Elephas maximus indicus: one gene and its partner. The protein of the gene in region 2 interacts with the protein of the main gene of each other region in a biochemical or structural test. Links are inferred from orthologs where the notes say so. Each region holds a gene or a part of one and is shown on either strand. Other genes may lie near its edges.

Evidence for each region.
Region 1: the proteins of RAF1 (region 2) and PEBP1 form a complex in vitro, tested with the Homo sapiens proteins (3 studies listed by BioGRID and IntAct, with this or other methods). The link is inferred for Elephas maximus indicus from reciprocal best matches to the Homo sapiens genes RAF1 and PEBP1.

Annotation. Positions count from the first base shown.
Region 1 is NC_064840.1:15,686,492-15,692,956, reverse strand, and holds the start of PEBP1 (phosphatidylethanolamine-binding protein 1), read right to left. Parts: upstream 4,157-6,465; 5' UTR 4,060-4,156; coding exon 3,925-4,059; intron 2,817-3,924; coding exon 2,707-2,816; intron 2,020-2,706; coding exon 1,919-2,019; intron 1-1,918.
Region 2 is NC_064838.1:37,862,999-37,869,463, forward strand, and holds the start of RAF1 (RAF proto-oncogene serine/threonine-protein kinase), read right to left. Parts: upstream 3,439-6,465; 5' UTR 3,031-3,438; intron 1-3,030. UniProt on the Homo sapiens protein: Serine/threonine-protein kinase that acts as a regulatory link between the membrane-associated Ras GTPases and the MAPK/ERK cascade, and this critical regulatory link functions as a switch determining cell fate decisions including proliferation, differentiation, apoptosis, survival and oncogenic transformation.

The DNA of each region.
Region 1 (6,465 bases), on a different chromosome or scaffold from region 2:
AAGTAAAAAAAAATGTTTGAAGCCAGCCAGCAAGCTCCAATTAGGTAGGCACAAATGTTACCATGAAATTCTTGCGGCGGGCGGGGGGGGGGGGGGGAGAGTTCTTTAAATAAGCACACCATTAAAGATGTTCAACATCATTAGTCAGCAAGGTCATAAACACTAAAACCAGAAAGACTGACAACACCTAACGTCTGCACAGATATGGACCTACTGGAACTTTCCTGTACAGCTCATTAGAATATAAAAATTTCCAACCATTAGGGAGAACTCTTGGGCAACATCTTATACAAAATTAGCCAATAACTGTCTATGACCCAAGAATTTTATTCCTATTTATACAGAAATGAAAACATATGCTAACAAAATGACAAAAATCTATACAGCGGCTTTATTCATAATATCCAAACACTGGAGACAACCCAAACGCCCATCAACAGGAAAATGGCTAAGCAAACTGTGGTCTATTCACACAAAGGAATACTACTGAGCAATACAGAAGGAGCCACAGATACGAACAGTAACGGATAAATCTGACATTATCCTGAGCGAAAAAAACGAGTCACCAAAACAAAATGCATACTCCATGATACCCTTTGTGTGAATACAAGAACAGCAAAAGTAATCTACAGAGATAGGAGTCAGAAAATGGTTACCTCTGAGAGAATTTAACTGAAAAGGTCACACAAGAACCTTCTAGGGAGACGGAAATGTCCTATATTTTATTTTGGATAGTGGTTACGTGGGCGTATGCCTGGGTCAAAATTCATTAACTGAGCCCTTATGGTCTGTACGTTTTATTATACATAAATTATGCCTTACTAAAAGTATGAACAAAGCAAAAAGTCAATTTCTGAGGCTTTTTTAAAAATATGAGAACACAGTTCCTACTGCAGAGAATTGCTTTATTCTCATGAGAATACTTCCCATAATTAACCCGCCTAATTTTAAAACTGCCCTAGAGAGCTTAATAGATCCCTGGGAAACATGTCCCTTTAACTTCCTGTTATGATGCATCAGAGGACAAGAAGCCATCTGAAGCTTCTGGGTCTACAGATAAAACATTGAGTCCATGACCAATTGCTCTTATCAGGGATCTCCCTGTACCCCTTCACACTAACTCATGGCTGGACAATATGTATGAAAGCTAGTACTCTGCCATGCCCCACCCATAACTATTTCTTTGTTCCAGAAAATGGAAAGCTGCTGTAATGCACCAGAGGTAACAATAATGCATCAGCTTATTGTTATTAATATTTATTAGCAGCTTAGGGAGCCCTTACTCAACTTGGAGAGTTTCAAAGCTGTGTTCTCTCCCTCTCTCATTTGTTTCTCATATAACATGTGTCATACAATGCAATACAATATGTACGTGTGTGCCTTCAGAAGTTCTCAAAATTTTTTCAAGGTCACTAATTAGATTTGTGAGAGAAAGAAAAGAGGAGCCATAAAAAGATAAGAAAGCCAATTTGTTTTTAATAATTGGAAGCTGTGACATTTCTGCGACCTTTGACAGGAATTAGAAACTCAAAGATCACACAGGGCAGAGGCTGCATATAGAATTGAGATGGTTTAACTGTATTCAATCCACTAGAAAACCACTCCGAGCTTTCTACAATAGCACCATGTTGGAATCTTCTCATCAAATTTTCTTGCTTCCTAAAGGCCAAGTGGCTGAGAGGTAATTCTACACAGAGGGTCCATCTGACGCCAGAACCCAGGATTCTAACTACTGGACACTCCTGCAGGTCTGAATGGACTCTGGGAGCCAACCACTCTGAAGCTGAAATGAGCTGCCTTAAATCTCACATGGGGTTAAGGGCGCTCATAAATAAAAAGAGTACCAGTTCAAAAAGCAAACTAAAATGTGTTAACCCAGGTCCCCCTTCACCTCCCCGCAAAAGCAGCCTTAACTGACCTGTGCCCTTGGGAGGCCCAGAGCCCACGTAATCGGAGAGGACTGTGCCACTGCTGATGTCGTTGCCTTTCATGTTGACCACCAGAAAGTGGTGCCATTCCCTACGCGGAGGAACACAGGGTCATCAACACCACAGGAAATCACAGGTTCACTGCACCAGCAAATGCGTACTGAGCACATCACATTCCAGGCCAGGCTGCAGCCTAACCAGACAGACACTGGCCAGTGCGAGCTTCATCTGTATGCAGGAGAGAGGACCCAGCCCCACCCTCCCGTAGACTGCATGCCTTAGCAAACTTTTTGTGAGGGACAGAGAGCAAAGATTTTACGTTTTTGCAAGTCATACTGTCTCTGTGGCAGCTACTCAACTCTGCAGTGCGGCTGAAAACAGCCATAAACAAAACATAAATAAATAATCACACTGTTTTCCAACAAAACTTTATTTATAGACACTGAAAGTGGAATTTCAGATAAGATTTATGTCACAAAGTATTATTCTTCTTTCACATTTTTTTCCAACTATTTATAAAACACAGAAACCATTCTTAGCTGACAAGGCCAGAAAAAAACAGGCTGTGGGTGGACTTGGCTCTCAGTTGTCGTTTACAGACCTCTGCTCTAGGGAGGGAAGGGGACGAAATACAGGCTGATTTAAGCATGGGTGTGAACATCCCAAACCAGGTCCACTTTTCCTAGTAGAGCTACCCAGCTGTAAACTTACACAGTCTGAAAAATGCAGATCATATTTGCATGGCCCATTCATTGTTCCTCACCTACCCCCAACTTACCTGTACTTGGGGTCCTTCCTGCTGGGGGCATCTGGGTCTGTCAGAACCAAGGTGTAGAGTTTACCTGAATCCAGGCCATCCCATGCAATGCTGGTGGGGCGGTTCTTAACCTGTAGTGAGGAACCAGTTCGGAGTTAATTCAAGAATTGCTGAAGAAACCAATGTTCTTTCTTAGATCTGGCCTTCCTTAAAGGTAAAACAAAGTCAATTACTAATAAACGTTAACTTCGTATTGAGTCTACTGAACAGCCAGGAGCTGAAGTTGTAAATACAGTATTTAACGCCAACAACACCGCGGGGGTGATGTCCCAGTACGTTAGTAACAGAAGGAGGTGGGGCCACGAGTCCAACGCTGGCCTTGACTGAGTCTCCAAACTCAACGCTCACCCTCAGCGGAAAAGTACTGGGAAGACTAAGTGGACAGGTTACCTGGAGCCTGCTAAAAGGAAATCTCAATTAACTGGGCATTTACAGTGCAGAGAAAAAGAAATAGGGAAGCTGGTGAGGCAGTTAATATGAGAAAAGGGAGGCTGGGTCAGCTCCAAGATGGTCACTTTGTTTAAACATTAAAAAAATAAAACCCTGAGGTCAGAACAGTTTATTCACGCTGTGGCCTGAAGCTTCATAACCAGCAACTAACAATGGCGTCGGAAAACCTAGTTTCTCTACTTTCTGCAGGCAGGACCCGGTCATGGCTCTGCCACCGGCTCCAGGAGGGCCAAACGGTAGAACAAGGCCGGCCGTTGCCCTGGAACCTGCCAGCTGCAGAACCGTCCGCCAGCTGCAGAACGTCCTTACTCCCTTTGGGTGGATTCCACGACCGCTAAAACAAAGGAGAAAACGCTAGGCACTGCGGGTCGCTGTTACATAACGCGTCACGTGTTCTCCAGCGACGCTTCTGCTCCCCAAATGGAGGCCCCCACTCCCGAGTCCCCACGGCCCCCTCCCCGTCCCTGCGCCCGTAGTCGGGGCTTCTTCCGGGCCCTCTCGGTGCCTTTAAGTCCTGGCAAAGCAGATCAGTTTCTCCAGCCGGCCAACCGCGTGCGCCACGTGCCGGGTCCCGGGGACTCGGGCCTGTCCCCAAGCCTGCAGCGCACGCAGGCAGCAACCCCGTCCCCAGCCCCCGCCGGCCCGCACACGGCGGCAAGCCGAGAGCAGCTGCACCCCCGCCGCCGTGACGGAGCGCAGGGCGCCCGGGCCTCCCGCCGCCCCGGATACCTGGGTGGGCGTCAGCACTTTGCCCAGCTCGTCGATCTCCGCCCCGCCGTATTTGACCTGCAGCGGCTGCTGCGGCCGCTCATCCACTTCCTGCAGGCTCAGGGGCCCGGACCACTTGCTGAGATCTACCGGCATCGCGGGGCCGAGCGCGGCGGGCAGTCAGCAACGCAGCGGCAGGCGAAGCGCACCACAGCCCAGCAGCACCGACCAGAAGCCGCGCAGCGACAACGAGAGCGCACGCGCCGGCGCGCCTCGCCACGCCCCCGCCCCTGCGGCGCAGTCTGATCTCTGATTGGTCCGACGGGTAGCGCAGGGCGTCTCGCGCCACCGGCTCAATGCAGCAGTTGGGTTTGCTTTGCTTTTGCGCCAGAAAAATGTACTACCGCGGACGCCGAGGCCCCTGGGACTATTGCTGGGCTTGCAAGGCCGTTGTTTCAAGAAATGCAATTGAACTAACTTTGACTTTTTTTTTTTTTTAACTTTTTTGCATGTTTCCTTGCTCTATATTCAAAATTCAGAAATGAAACGCCTTGCTTTTTCTCCTGTACGTCTTGTAACAGGCGCCCTGTACTTTCGCGCATGCTCACTTGTTTTGAGTGAGCGCCTGACCAGGCTTTGCAGCATTTTCCTCACTCTTGAGCGTTTACTTCTTCCTCTGTATAAATGTTTTTGTTTTTTTTTATACATATATGTATACGTATACATTTTTATACATATATGTACATACATATACATATATTTGCACATATATTTCATCCTCCTTCCCACATGATCATCACAAGATTCCTGAAAAATTATTTTTTAAACCATAATTCCTATTTTATTGACAAGTAGCTCCGCATCCACCAAAACTCCTTTCACTGTAGCCACCAACCGCTTTCTTTTTGCTAAATATAATGTTGTTAGGTGCCAACTAGTCCGTTCGACTAAAAAAAAAAATACATAGCAAAAGGAAACGTTGCCCCGTCCTGTGCCTTGCTATGTTTCAGCCCATTGTTGCAGCCACTGTGTCAATCCATCTCATTGCGGGTCTTCTTTCTTTCATTGACCCTCTACTTTACCAAGCCTGATGTTCTTCTCTTTGGATTGGTCCCTCCTGGTAATATGTCCAAAGTATATGAGACGAACCATCCTTGCTTCTAAGGAACATTCTGGCTGTACTTCTTCCAAGATTCGTTCATTCTTCTGGCAGTCCCGGGACAGTGAATAAGGAAGACTGAAGAAGAATTCATGCATTTGAATTACGGTGTTGGCAAAGAACATCGAGGACACCAAAAAATACCAAAGACTAAATATAATAGGTACTTTCTAATGGTCTTGATCTGATTTGGCCCTAGGACAGTCTTTGACATTTAAAACTACCTCCTAGGGACTAAAATAATTGTTGTTTTCATTTCTTATTAGGAAATAATACAAGTTCATTGTAGAAAATTCAGAGGAAAAAAAAGTAAGACTTCTATTCCACTACCTGAATATAAACATAGGTGACAATTTGGAGTATATATTTCCTGTTTAAAAAGCAATGGGTATAGGTGATTTTGTTTTTTTCACACAAAAATGACATTTTACTCTACCATTGTAGAACATCCATATCCAATATAAATCTTCATCATTTTAATGGCTATTCTATAGCCGTGCCATAATTTATTCAACAAACTTTTAGTGTTGGACATTTAGGTGGTTTGGTTTGGTTTTCCTTTTAAAAATATCTCTGAAATGAACGTCCTTGTACACATATTTTTACACATCTGGCAGATGATTTTAGGAAAATATACTAGAAGAAGGCTGTCTAAGCCAAAGATATGTACTTTAAAAGTCACAGATGAGTAAAAGAAATAAGTGGAATGCAGTGACTTACTCCAAGCCTCACAGCTAGTTAAGTGTCAGAGTCCAGACTGGAAACAATGCCTTCAAAGAAGAAGTGATGATATGATTGTTGGTTTCTTTCCTACATTCGCTCTGTAAATGCATCTTGAGAACCTTCTAAGCAAAACCAATAACCGTCCCTGCCCTCATGGCACACATGGGCTAGCAATGGAAAAAAAAAAAATTTTTTTTTTTTTTAGACTTAATCGATGATGCTGGATAAATGTAGCACCCTCAACTGTGATAAGGGTCAGGGAGAAAAGACAGGCCCAGGTTGTGGGCCAGCATCATAGAGTAACCTGAAGGAGTTCTGCACTAACTCCCCATATGACCTCTGGAAAGTCACCTTCACCATCTCTTTACCGGAGGCTCAGGGCAGGCTGCTGCAGTGAGAAGGTGAGGTGATTGATACAAAACCTGTTGGGAAAGGTAGAAATTCTAGACATTTCTGCTCCTGGCTGCCATTCTTGTTCCTTCCTTCCCCTAAAAGCAATTGGTCACTAGCTCTATAAATTCTACCTTCTTAATGCCATTCTAATCAGTCCACTTCTTTTCCTCACAATGCTACTGCCTAGTGAGGCCCCTGGTATCACTCTCTTTGACCACTGCTACCTCTGAGCCTTTGCACATGCTGTTCCCTCCATCCCCCCCAACCCTCACTGTACTCTTGTCCCA
Region 2 (6,465 bases):
CTTTACAAGGGAATTGCAATCAGGGGAATCTACCTTGTTTTACTATATAAAACACATTTGCTATTCCAAAAATATTCACTAGCATTTTCAGGTGCTTTATAAAATCTGTCAAATTCTATATGACTGGTGAGCATGGTTTATATTGTCAACAGCCATTTAAAACTGAAAATTAGTAAAATGTACATTATATTCAACATTTTGTGAGCAAACATAACTTTAGAGGAATCTTGTGCATGAATCCCTAAGAATGTGACATCAGTCCATTCACTACTGTATAAATGGAAAGCATTTCATCTAAAACACTTTAAAAATGTTCCTAACTGGGTTTAACGAAGTAAATCTTTTTAATTACTATCAGCTTTAATATCATCAAGAGAGGGACCAAAGTAAATGACGACAGTAACAGGTACCCAAGAATAAACGACTACCCAGGTAAATGCTGTAACGAAACTCTGCAACAGTAATAACAACCAAAAATTTGCGAGTGGTTACATAGGTAGGAAACCCTGGTGGCAGAATGGTTAAGTGCTACGGCTGCTAACCGAATTGGTGAGCAGTTTGAATCCACTAGGCGCTCCTCGGAAACTCTAGGAGACAGTTCTACTCTGTCCTATGGGTCGCTATGAGTTGGAATCGAATCAATGGCACTGGGTTTTTTTTTTTTTTTTGGTTGCATAGGTAGACATGTATGCTATATAGGTACAGGTGGCCGTATACGAGTATATGCAAGTGCATATATAGGTATAGTTGTGGGCATTTGTATATACATATTTGTATGTTCTGCATATATACTCATATATATATAATAGAGCATACATATATGGGACACAGTTATGGAAACTTCTTAGACATACCCAAACACCTCATGGGACTGAGTTACTGGGTTTGGAGGCTAAGGACCACAGTCTCAGGGGACATCTAGATCAATTGGCATAACATAGTCCATAAAAATAATGTTCTAAATCCTAGTTTGGTAAGTAGCATCTGGGGTCTTAAAGGATTTTGAGCGGCTGTCTAAGGACACAACTACTGGTCTCTTCCTGTGTGGAGCAAAGGAGGGTGAAGGAAACCAAAGACTCAAGGAAGCAATGAGTCCACAGGACTAATGGCCCACACAAACCAGTCTCCTCTAGCCTAAAACTAGAAGAATTAGATGGTGCCGGTTACCACTACCAAACACTCTGACCAGGGACACAATAGGAGAACCCGGTTAGAGTTGGAGAAAATGTAGAACAAAATCCAAATTCATAAAAAAAAAAAAAAAGACTTACTAGACTGACAGGGACTGGAGGAACCCCCTGACTATCGCCCTAAGACACCCTTTTAACCTGGAAATGAAGCCACTCCCAGAGGTCACTTTTCAGCCCAATAATAAATTGGCCTATAAAATAAACAGCAACACCTGTGAGGAACGTGTTCCTTAGAACAATCAACTATATGAGCAACATCTGCCCAAAAAACAAAGCTGAGAAGGCAAGGAGGGGCAGGGAAAGTGGACAGAGGCAAACAGGGAAGGCAGAGTGGAAATGGAGAAAGTGCTGATACGTTGCAGGGGTAGCAACCAATGCGACGGAACAATTTGTGAACTGTTGAATGGAACACTAATTTGCTATGTAAACTTTCACCTAAAACACAATAAAACGTTCAAAAAAAAAGAGGAGAAAAATGATTAGGTATCAGTAAGAATAAAAAATTAGCAACACCTATTTTTTATTCAGAAGAATCCAAATTAAACCAACTAATTCACCACTGTGTTCAAACAAAGAAAGACCCTTAACAATCTAGCAACTTTTCTTCTGGACTCTCTTCTCTCACTATTTCCCTGCACCCCAAACTATTTGCTTGCTCCCCAAACTCATCCCAATTCCTGCATGCCTCCTTTCCTATCAGGAGTTCTCTCCGCTAGGAATGCCCTTCCCCTCCTCCTCACCTAGTGAGCACTTACTCATCAGTCCTTCAAAACTCGGCGCAAAAGTCCCCTCTGGCGTACACTCCTCCTTAGGTCCCCTAGGTAAAACTAGGTGTTCTAAGTTCCCACAGCACTCGGCAAGCCAATCCTTATCATATGGCGTTGTTCTCACGTCTTGGGAGCGCACGGAGGGCCGTTTCTCCCCACTCACCCTGCACAGGGCTAGGCAGGCAGAAAAGCTCCGCGAACGTGTGAATTCATTCCCTACCTAGATTAAGTGACCTCCTCGAACCCGGTCACATCTCAAGGAGACAATATGAGACCCCATCATTCTTCCCACTAGAGAATGAATACCATGGGCACACCCAGACCCTGGAAAATGAACAACGAACGAACACAAGCGCCTCGCCTCTCGGGATCCTAACTCCTCTCTCGGGGCACCGACTAGCTAGCTCTGCAGAGCCTGTGCAGTTGCAAGGCTGAAGCGTCCCGGCAGCGGCTCTTATTTCACACAAAAGACAGCCCTGGATCTTCATTCCGAAGCATCCCGGGGCCCATGCTCAGCCTAAGCATCCTAAACCTTTCATTAGGAACCCACAGAGTCCTGAAACCCAAGGCGAGGCCCCTATGCCTTTGTGATGGGGCACTGACCCATATCCTTTCTTCTCAATTCCTTTCATCCTCCCTAAAAGAGTGACATTGGGGTGAAGGACCCCGAGAGAAGGTGCAGGCCCGGGTACCCACCCCGCGACCAGAAAAGAAAAAGGAATTAGCTCATCCGGGTGACAACACCGATACGGGGCAGCTCTGGGCGGATTCTCCCACTGCCAAAATATGAGGAATGTGCACTGGGCACAGGGGTGGCGCTGGCACGTTTCCCCGAAACACAAGGAAATCTGAGTGGGGATATGGGAACTTGGGTCGCCGGCCATGACACCCGGCCCCGGGCACCCCTGCCGCCCAGCGCCACCCGGGGTGACAGCGGCCTGGCCCAGGCCCTCCGCCCGGGCAGCCGCGGGGCCGCTCCGTCAGCGCCGCCCAGGCCCAACCGCCAGGGAACCCGGTCCCTCGGCCCCGCCGCCCCGCTCCCCCGGCTTCCAGTACCCGGCGCCGCCGCCTACCTGAAGGAGCCAGGCCGACCCCGCGTTCCGTCGTCCGGCGGCGGCGTCCAGTCCGCTCCTCCTCCCCGCGGAGAGTGAGGGAGCGGGAGGCGGTCACATTCGACGCGTCCCCAACCCCGGGGACGGGGCCCCGGGCAGTCCCCGCATCGTCCCACTCGCGCTCTGCGCCTTAGGATACACACCCCAAAGCCTCGCCAACTGGCCCGCTGCGGGGCCCAGGGAAAACCGCAGGGAAGCCTTCCCGCCTCACGCTCGCTCTCGTCTTACTCCCGCCATCTAAGATGGCGGCCCCAGCGCCCGCAATGAAGACACTCTCGGGCGGCCCCGGCGAGCGAACCCTGCGCTCGGTGCTCCTCCTCCCGGCCTGCTGCGCCACCGGCTCTGCTTCTGCGCGAGCCCGCCTGGCAGCCGACTACGAGCTTGGTTCGGGCATCTGTCGTTCTGGTCTGAACTCGGGCCCGCCTCCTAGGGGAGGGCCGTAGCCTCGCGCTCCTGGCGGTCGCCATTTCGGAGCTGAGGAGGCTGCGAAGAGGGCTTGGGGGGGTTATCGGCTAGGCGGCGGCGGCCAGGCGGGGCCGGGTCTGAGGGCCGGGTCTGAGGGCCGGGGGAGCTCCTGGCAGCCTGGCGTGACCAGACGTCCCCCAGGATGCACAGCACGGAGGACAGTGACCAGCTTTGGCGCGTCCTCTCCGTAGTCGAACACCTCCGACGCCGAGTTACGACTTTGCCACTCACGGGTTGTGTGGGAAAGCCACTCTTTCTGAGACCCTCTTCATCTATAAATTGGGGGTTCATCCCCCGCCTCCCATCAGATTGACAAAAAATTTAAAGACTGGTAATAGCCAGTTTGGTCCAAGATATATAAAAACCTGCCGTGTACCCTAACAGCGCTGGCACGAATACATACCGGACGGCAATTTGACGTTACCAACTTGTTTTTTTTTTTTTTTTTTAACCCTGGGGGCGCAGTGGTTAAGAGCTCGGCTGCTGACCAAAGGTTGGCAGTTCGAATCCACCAGCCGCTCCTTGGAAACCTTATTGGGCCGTTCTACTTTGTTCTATAGGGTAGCTATGAGTCGGAATGGACTGGACGTGGCAGCGGATTTGGTTGGGCGTTTATTCACATTTTTAAATGTATATACCTTTCCAGCAATTCCACTTCCGTACAAATATGTACTCATAATGCACAAAAAGAAATGTGCAAGGACGTTTATTGCTAACCAAAAAGTCAGCAGTTCGAATCCACCAGCGGCTCCTTGGAAACCCTTTGGGGCAGTTCTCTGTCCTGTGAGGTCCCTATCTCCTAGGCAACGGTTTTGGCTTTTTGGTTTTGGGTTAGAAAAACATTGGGAAAATGTGGTTTAATTAAATAGAACACTGGTTAAATAAACAGCGCCACATCCACAGTATGGAATGTCACCCATCTGTTAAAAACTATGAGCTAAGTCTATGTATTTACAAGGAGCCTTGGTGGCGCTGGGCAGTTCCAACCCACTAGCAGTTTGGCTGGAGAAGTCCTGAAGATCTGCCCCTGTGAAGATGATAGGGTCGCTATGAGTTGGAACGGACTCCACCGGCACCTAATAAAAACAATGATTACACCCTTGAAAACCCTATGGGGCAGCTCTACTCTGTAGTGAGTCAGAATCAACTTGACTGCAAAGTTTTTTGTTGTTTTGGGGGGGGCGGGCGTTAAGGCTGTACCTATTAAAAAAAAATCCTCCAAGGCAGTTTTTCAAAAATTGGAGTATGTACAGTATTTATGCAACACGAGCCACAAAGCTACTTAGTACCATTAGCTACATTCATTATTTAAATTGTGTAGCACACACTGTTCTGGGTATTGGGAAATCAACAATAATCAAAATACCTGTCGCCTAGTGATGGGACACACACAAAGTGTAAATAAATTCAGGTTCTAATACGTGCTCTGTAAAGAAAAATGCAGCGAGATGAGATGATAACAGGAGTATATGGACCTACATAAAAATAAATGCAGGGAAAAGTCTGAAGGCATAACATATGCAGGAGAGTGAAGAGGAATTTTTTTTTTTTTTAATGGGAATATAACCATAATACCCACCTCGTAGGATTAAATGAGATAAAACACTAGAGCACTTAGCACAGAGCCTGGGGGTTGAGACTTCATGTGGACCCAGACTGCTTAGGTTCAAATTTGGACTCTGCCACTTCCTAATGTGACTTGGGCAAGTCACTTTAACCTCTCAGTTCCTCAGTTTCCTCGTCTGTAAAGAAAAGGTGATAGTACCCACCTCTTAGAGTTGTCAGGATTGAGTGAGTTTAAGATGTAAAACACTTGGAACAGTGCCTGGCAGGCAGTAAGCATTCTAGAAGTGTTAGCTGTAATTGTTACAGCTATCTCTTATCATATCATCCTCATCATCCGTATTATTACTTGAGACAGAGCAGCCAGGCTACACTTGCTAACCCCAGGCCATTTCTTCCTTCAGTGGCCTCCCCGCGCGCCCCCCCCCCCCCGCCAGCTGGTATGTGCCCAGCGCTTTACAGTTTAGAAAGCTTGAAGATCCTGTGCCGCATTCAGACCTCATAGCTGGCCTATGTTTTTTAGGTGAGGGAATGGAGACACAAAAATTCAATCGCTTAAGCCAGGTCACCTAACACACAGACACAGATAGCTTCGTCTTACTCCTAGCCCAGCCCGGGTTTGAAGCCCTTATCACCACCATGATTTGAAGGTTTGTCCAGAGATAAAATCGTATCGGACTTCAGTGGGCTCTCAGGGACCTCCCAACCCCTGTCATGGAGAAGAGTGACTCCAGCTCCCCCACCACCTACCTCCTCACTCTCTACCTCCCTCCTCTTTGCCCCCTGCCCACCTGGTGTTGATTCCTCTCAGCCCTGGCAGTTCAGCAAGCTACAGAGTGTACCTTTACCCCAGCTGTCTGCAGGTTGCCACTTACTCTCTTCTCCTCTTGAGTAATCCCAGTGTTCTGGTAACAGGGATTGCTAACTCAAGTTACCACAGGGACCAGGCAGTGATGTAAATGACAGAAGTTGGCCTGGTGTGGGGGGCTCCAAAGAGAAATGGGAGGAAGGAAGGAGTCAGTAATGGTTTGAAAGAAGAATGGATGCCCCAAGATCTCAGATAAACAGAGGAGGGAAGGAATGTGAGGGGTCACAGCTGGCAGGAGAGTGATGGGGGAAGGGGAACATGTGAACTTCCCTGGATGTTGGAATGTTCTACTTCTTGTCCTGGTGAAAATTGGTCATGTTATACACTTAAGATATTTCTATTTTTCTCTATATTTGTTACACCTCAATAAAAAAAAAAAAAAAAAGATTGTGAAAGATGGAGAGTAAGGTCTTTAAGCCTGGCAGAAAGGGTACACTTGTCACTGAAGGAGAGAAAATTTTAACAGGTGACAGCTACCATTTGTGGGGTATCTTCATATA